Danio rerio: one gene and its partner. The protein of the gene in region 2 interacts with the protein of the main gene of each other region in a biochemical or structural test. Links are inferred from orthologs where the notes say so. Each region holds a gene or a part of one and is shown on either strand. Other genes may lie near its edges. The genes, in order: sntb2 and dgkza.

Region 1 (3,826 bases), on a different chromosome or scaffold from region 2:
GACGAGGTCGAGTTGTTACTAAACGTAACAAATGAATAACTGCAGAATGGCGCCTAAAACAGACAATAGTGCAAACAACGCTCCCATTTCTGTGTCCATGTTGTTGATGACAGTGAAGGCTGGTCTGCTGTCTTCCGGTAGCGTTAAAGCCATGTGTTATAGTCATGTGATAGGGGCTTGACGAATAAGGGAAGGATACGCAATAGCTGCGTCCCAAATGGCACACTATACACTATGCACTCATGCACTATGTACTTATGCACTTACACACTCAACAGGATAGTACATGTATGTAGTGTTGTCCCAAATGGCACACTAATGTTTTTTTACTAAACGGAAATTCAAACCGTTTCCCTGATGACGTTTGACGGTTGCCAAATCAGTGAAATAAACGAACGAATTATCAAATAAAACCTGCCGTGAGTATTGCCGCATTCACCATCGGGAGGCGCTATAATCACTCTCGTAGGAGAATTTTGCTTTCTCCATCCAAAATAAATACAGTTATCCAACATGTGCGCTCGAAAGCTCCGCCCCTTCCGATACGTAAGCAAACCTGCGGTCGTTGAGTGCGTGAAGTGTCCATCATTCCACACTTCATTTTAGCGGCTGAATGAGGGCATCATCCGGGTAATTAAAGTGCACTTATTATTTTAAGAGTTTTCAGTGTGAACACACTACTTACACTATTTATACTACAAAATGGCGTAGAATAGTGCATAAGTATGCGATTTGGGACGCAGCTAATGACACAAAAGCCCCAATCAGGGAGCGAATCTCAGCGGTCCCGCCTCCGTTTTCAGATGTCTCCGTTTTTCCTCATCCACACCGAGACATTGCAGCAGTGTGTCAGTATGAAAACAGCCTCTCCAGCATTTTCAAAACGCTCCGTTTTTGCCGCTCGAGAACTCCGCCGTAGTGTGGGCGGATGGCGTAACCGTAGCAAAACTTATGCGTTTTAAAACGAAAACGCATTAGTGTAAACGGAGCCCTAGTGTCCACTTTTAGCGAGTCTCTTCTTTTCTGCTGCTGTAGCTCATCAGCTTCAAGGTTTGATGTGTTGTGTTCTGTAGGGTTGTGCAATATATCGCAGCAAACGTTCATGTATTTTGCTTCAAATAGATCTGCACCAAAGTAAATGTGTTCACAATTATCTTACACATGTCTCCATGTTCGCAAGGTACATGTGCAAGTTGCTGATCACGTTGGTTTTCGGGCAGTACCTAATAGCGTTGCTCCTGCTGCAGCTGTGATACAGCAACAAATTTCCTTGATTATTATAGCGAGAATGAGGGAATAGCCACTTTTCATTTTCCTTTTGTCTTAATAGACGATGTAACTACAAAAGAGTCTGGCTTCAAATAGGAAAATATGTGAGTGAGATGCTAATGGTCTAATCCGATTCAATGATCTATGCTAAGCTAATAGTGCTTTAATAGCAGTGAAAGAAACTCATAAAGGTTTCTAAAAACTTGAGGCAGAGTGAATAGTGAGTGAATTTACATTTTTAGTTGAACTATCACTTCATTCAAATCATTAAAAATGATGGTCTGTTTTGACTCCGCTTAAGACCACTTGTGCTGTGTGTGCAGTGAAGTACATCAGAGAAGTGTCTCCGCTCTTCAAGAAGTCCTCCATGAGTGCAGATTTGTCCTGGGATGGCCGTCTGCAGTCTCCAAACCTCAGCAGCAGTGATGAATCCCCCAAGAGCAGCGTCAGCCGAGACAGAAAGGTCATCCCGCTCAAAATGAGCTTCATCAGCCGAAACCTCACCATGCCTGACCCGGAGAACAGGTGAGTCCCAGATCTCAGAAGCAGCTCTGTGTTATTGAGCTTGACTTTAATTCTACTGTGAAGACAGAAACTATGTTTGGATTACACTGAGAGTCAAAACTTATGATATTTAATGATTTTAATGTCTCTTTTGCTTACCAAGGCTGTTTATTTGATGACAAATTTCACTGACGACGTGTACTTGATCAAATAAATACAGCTTTTGTGAGCAAGAGATAAATGTAGTCAGATGACATTGTTGACAGTCATATTGGCAAAGAAATCGATTCTGCATCAATTCTGACATTCTCAAAATGAGTCTTTCTTCAATTAATTTTGAGCAATTTTTTAACAGCAGGTAGCACTCTTGTTTTAACCAAGCATGGTGCTCTAGGCTAGTTGTAAACCAGAGATGGTGCTTTAGGCTAGTTTTTAATCACGGATGGTGCTCTACGTTATTTCTCAACAACAGACAGCGCTATAGGCTATGTGTGGTTTGTTTTTAACCACAGACAGTGCTCTAGGCTAGGCTAGTTTTTTTTAACCACAGACAAAGCACTAGGCTAGTTTTTAGACCACAAACAGTGCTTTAGGCTAGGCTAGTGTTTTGTTTTTAACCACAGACGGTGCTCTAGGCTAGGCTAGTGTTTTGTTTTTAACCACAGACGGTGCTCTAGGCTAGGCTAGTGTTTTGTTTTTAACCACAGACAGTGCTCTAGGCTATTGAGTTGTTTTTAACCACAGACAGTGATCTAGGCTAGGCTAGTGTTTTGTTTTTAACCACAGACAGTGCTCTAGGCTAGGCTAGTTTTTTTAACCACAGACAAAGCACTAGGCTAGTTTTTAAACCACAAACAGTGCTTTAGGCTAGGCTAGTGTTTTGTTTTTAACCACAGACGAAGCTCTAGGCTAGGCTAGTGTTTTGTTTTTAACCACAGACGGTGCTCTAGGCTAGGCTAGTGTTTTGTTTTTAACCACAGACAGTGCTCTAGGCTAGTGTTTTGTTTTTAACCACAGACAGTGCTCTAGGCTAGGCTAGTTTTTTTAACCACAGACAAAGCACTAGGCTAGTTTTTAAACCACAAACAGTGCTTTAGGCTAGTGTTTTGTTTTTAACCACAGACGGTGCTCTAGGCTAGGCTAGTGTTTTGTTTTTAACCACAGACGGTGCTCTAGGCTAGGCTAGTGTTTTGTTTTTAACCACAGACGGTGCTCTAGGCTAGGCTAGTGTTTTGTTTTTAACCACAGACGGTGCTCTAGGCTAGGCTAGTGTTTTGTTTCTAACCACAGACGGTGCTCTAGGCTAGGCTAGTGTTTTGTTTTTAACCACAGACAGTGCTCTAGGCTAGTTTTTTTTAACCACAGACAGTGCTCTAGGCTAATTTTTAAACCACAGACAGTGCTCTAGGCTAGTTTTTTAATAACAGATAGAGGGCTAGTCTTTTTAACCACAGGCGGTGCTCTAGGCAATTTTTTTTACCACAGATGGCACTCTACGCTAGTTTTTAACCACATATGGAGGGCTAGTTTTTTTTACACCACAGATGGCGCTCTAGGCTAGTCAGGCTAGTTTTTTAACCACAGATGGCACACTAGGCAAGCTTATTTTTTCTTAAATCTTTCCTAACTTTATTAATTATTATTTTAGCTTTGAGTAGTATTTTTAAAGATTTGCATGCAAGCAGACTACAGCTGTTTGTGAAGCGTACAGCACCACCTGCTGGTAAAACTAAGCTCATAATCAATAATGATATCTCTAAGGATTTTTCATTACAGCTCTAATCATTTCAATATATTAACAGTATTTGGTAATAGTGAAATAAATATATAAAAACATATTCTTATGTGGAGTTAATTATTAATGTGTAGATGCATGTATTATGGTGCTGCATGTTTTTGTGATGCAGGTTGTTGGAGCTTCACTCTCCGGACGGTCAGCACACGGTGGTGCTGCGCTGTAAAGACGGAGCCACTGCTCACTCCTGGTTCACTGCCATTCACACCAACGTGGCGGCTCTTTTACCACAGACCCTGAGCTACATCAACACCTTCC
Region 2 (4,288 bases):
TGCAGCTGGAGATGGAGACACTGGCTGTTTCTCAATTCCAAGAACACAGGGAAAGGACTTGCGTTTTTGTGTAGTTGCAAAGCTGCCTCGGAAGAACAAACTCAAGAGACCGCAAGAAAACAGTACACGTCCTGTGAGAAATGAGATGCTGCGTTCTTCTTGATGGTCACATGACCTTTACACTTTTTAATGGAAACTTATTTAAACATTACTGCATTCATACAACGATTTATTGTTTTTCCCATTTTCACTATATATACTATGCATGTAGACCTTATAAATATAGGGAAACTACTGAGACAAATAAGTTATATCTCTAAACTTTAATAATAAATCTATATAAAATGCTGCACTTCCCACCCTCTTTATTCAGCTGCAATGACTTCTGGGATTTCTCGAGCAAGTTTTGCGATCAAGTCTGCATCGATGCATCTTCAATATCAAAAACATATTCAGGAACTATCACCCGTCCACTGTTCTTGCGCTCTTGAGTATTGGAACTGAACTTCGGCAGTTTATTATGACGTTACGTAAGAACACGAAGACGCAAGAACGCTTAAGAACACATATTGAGAAACAGCCTCTAAAACAGGCATGTGGGAAACTAGCATTAAAGCCACAGTTACAAAAACAGTTACATTGTGTTCAGAGCAGAAAATCCAATATTCTGAAATGTATAGTAAATAATCTGATGGATGGTTTGAGCTGAAACTTTACAGACAGATTCTGGAGGCACAAAAGACTTCTCTTAAATCTCGAAAAGGGGTAAAATAGGTGCTCTTTAAAACTTTGCTATTAAGAAAATATAAATATATTTTTTTTAAAAGTGGCTTTATAGCACCTCAAATGCTTGGTTAACTTGTAATAAAGTATATATTCTCTTTAATAATTCACCCAGAGGTCTTTATTTTGTTTTCTTCCTATTTTCCTTTTTTTTTTTTGGTCCATATAGGTGTATCATATTATTTAGACTCTATCAGTCCACTCCAAACTGTTTTTTGTTTTTCAGTAGAAGAAAAAACATGAGGGAAAATAAATGATTACGTGAGTTTTTGGTTAAACTATGTCTTCAGGTCAGAGATACACTTACTCTGCTTTCTCAGCTTGCCAGAACTCATTTATTTACATAATAACTTCTGGGGGTGTTTGCTTACATATTTGCATGTACTGTACATGCACTCAAATGTGTTCAGACAGTACACGTTTTTGAAGTGTTTGGTTGACTTGATCTGCATACAAGCTCGGTGTTTGCGTCAGAGGAAGCATGCTTCGTCAGTAGAATCATGCTGCTGTCTGTGATCCCCTTTCTCACTCTCTCTCACTCGCTCTATTTTTGACCCTCCCACTCTCTTAGGACAGACTGCATGCTCTCTGTTTCCCCATCCCCAGTCTACCTTCTTTCTGTCTCTATTCTCCTCTTCTCTCTCTCTCTTTCTCTTATTTTCATTCTTCTCTAAAAGTTATCTGGTGAGAGAACTGGAGAAGACGTTTGGATGATTTTGACCCTGCCATCAGGTTGTACGTTTCTCTAACTATTCACTCTACAGGGTTTAGTCGATCTGGAGAGTTGGAGTGCAGTGCTGTATCCTTTAGACTGTGATTTATGCTTGCGGTGCTTGTGGGAGAGCAAGACATGTGAGGTTTATTAGGCAAATCTGCTGGATCGTCTTGTCTGTGGCAACTCATCTGAAGATTATAAGTTACAGTGACTGTAATCTCATTGATGTCTTTGTGATTCTTTGTGATGAACTAATTTTGTATGTATTTGCATGTAGCGCTTCTGTAGTTTGCAGCCAGAAGTTTTAATCTGTTTCATGTTTTAAAGAAAAGGAGAAAGTTGTACTTATTTTGGGATTGGTGTTAGCAATAGCATTTTTTTATAACTCTAGCATGGAAACTTTCAAAATAGTGCACTCGTGCTTGGTCACTGTGTTTGTGTAATGTGAATAATAAAAATAAATAGTCAAGCACATGATTAAACTGCTGTGTTTATAGGCCACTGATTGTGAGTGTGAGAGACAGAGAGACTGTAATTTGTACATGCTGGCAGAGAGATAACTCAGATATTTATATGCACAAGCTTCTCACTGCAGACTAGATATTTATTTGGGCAAAAAGATAGCTCTGTCCATAAATTCTGATTTGCAGGAGCTTTGCCTGAAACCTAAAATATAGTGTTTAGGCAATTTGGTGTAAGACGATTTGCTACAGTATAATGTGAATGTTACCATACAGTTGTGTCTGTATGTATTAAGGGAAGCAAACCTGTTGGTGATTTCATCAGGACACTTCTTACTTTCAAGACTTGACTGATTTACCATGGTTAGTGGTCTTCTGCACTTTTCAAATGGAATAGTTCATCCAAAATTGAAAATCATCATCATTTTTTAACATTTACTATAGGGCTGCATGATATTGGAAACATTTTGCGATATGTGTTTTGCAATATGAATATAGTTTCACCAGATGACTTATTATATGTACAATTGTATCTTAATAATATATTAATAATATCTATTTGGAAAGAGTATAAAATAGTAGATCAATTAGGATGATTCTGTAGTGGGGTGCATAATCTATAAAATTTAAAGGGTTCACCGAAGTTTTTACATTGTTGTCTGCTATATTTGCAGTGCATTTCTGTATATGCATGTTTTGTGAGTATTTTCATGCACATGGTAAGTCAGAGATTGGGGAATTATTAATGTTTACTATTTGCATCTTGATAAAATCTAATAAACAACCTATAAAGTTTTTGGGGCCCTTAAAAACATTTTCTTTGTGGTCTGCATTACCTGCAGTGCATTTCTAAATATTTTCATGAATAACTATCTATAAATATAATCAATATACAATTGAAATAAAGTGTTTTATTATTTCCCAAGTCTAACTATATTCAAGTACAGTAACTAAATGATAAAAAAAAAATATATATTTCAATAAAAGGAATCATAGTTATGGTCAAAAAGGTCATTATACAGTTACAGACATTAAAACGATAAATTATAATGCAAACTCAACATTTCATATCCTGCAATGTGACTAGTGTGAATGATCACATTGCGATATCGACGCTGAAACCATATATATTGTGCAGCCCTAATACAAGTTACAAACCTATCTACAAGTTACAAAACCAAGAGTTCTCTCTCTTGCTAAACACATAAATGTTTTTTTTTTTTTGAATGATAAACAAATAGTTGATTTTAGCTATTGGCATCCACTTTTATTTTTTTTATTTTTAAGTTGAATTTAATAAATGCCATCAGTCTGGTTATCAATATTCTTTCAAATATGTTTATTAATAAAATAAGATTAAAGAATATCTTTAACACTCCAAGTTTTGATCAAACAACAACAGACTTTTCAGTTCTGGGTAAACTGCAGTAGTCAATTCCTTAAAGTACAACAAGGCAAGTGTGTGTTCACAGCAGTACCTAAAAGCCCATTTGACACTGCCAAAATGTGGAAAATCCTCGTAAAGAAGTTTAGGAAGCGAATGAGCCATGACAGCATGGGAAGAAATGAGAGCGAGAGAAACTGCAGCTTAGAAAACTGTTAGGAATTGAAACATGGCATGCACATGCTCAGCTGCTTTACATACAGGATTAGTGAATTTCCTGCTTGATGAACTGTCATAATACATGTCAGATTAAAGATTTAAGGTGCTGAAAATCTATAAAAACTCTTGGAATGTTGTCATATACATTTTTGAAAGCAAAGTATAAACATCTCTATATCTTTTGAGAACCATATAATTATTGAAATACTGCCAGATGTAAGAATTTATCCAAGATGTTAATACTTTTTGATTTATTTATTTTTATCAATTAACTACCAGACTACAAACAGATGTCTTAAATCAAGTTGGGTTCTAACTGAAGATATGCAAAAGCAATTAATTATAAAAGGTACTGTTTATAATAATTGAATTAACTCCACTGAATAATGCTCATACAAAATAAAGATAAAATATGCCCCGAGGTTTATACAACTAGGTCCATAAATATTTGGACATCGACACAATTCTAACATTTTTGGCTCTATACTCCAATGGATTTGAATCGAATCCAACCAGATTTAACTGCTTTAACTGCAGACTGTCAGCTTTAATTTGATGGTATTTACAACCAAATCAGGTGAACACTGTAGGAATTACAACAGTTTGCAGATGTGCCTCCCACTTGTTAAGGGTCCAAAGGTAATTGGACAAAATAATAATCATAAATCAAACTTTCACTTTTTAATCCTTGAAATACTTTTGCTGTCAATTACAGCCTGAAGTCTG

Evidence for each region.
Region 1: the proteins of dgkza (region 2) and sntb2 form a complex in vitro, tested with the Homo sapiens proteins (2 studies listed by BioGRID and IntAct, with this or other methods). The link is inferred for Danio rerio from reciprocal best matches to the Homo sapiens genes DGKZ and SNTB2.

Annotation. Positions count from the first base shown.
Region 1 is NC_133200.1:37,500,403-37,504,228, forward strand, and holds part of sntb2 (beta-2-syntrophin), read left to right. Parts: exon of another isoform or gene 1-199; intron 200-743; exon of another isoform or gene 744-1,592; coding exon 1,593-1,794; intron 1,795-3,680; coding exon 3,681-3,826. UniProt on the Homo sapiens protein: Adapter protein that binds to and probably organizes the subcellular localization of a variety of membrane proteins. May link various receptors to the actin cytoskeleton and the dystrophin glycoprotein complex.
Region 2 is NC_133182.1:39,269,258-39,273,545, forward strand, and holds the start of dgkza (diacylglycerol kinase zeta), read left to right. Parts: upstream 1-1,381; 5' UTR 1,382-1,518; intron 1,519-4,288. UniProt on the Homo sapiens protein: Diacylglycerol kinase that converts diacylglycerol/DAG into phosphatidic acid/phosphatidate/PA and regulates the respective levels of these two bioactive lipids.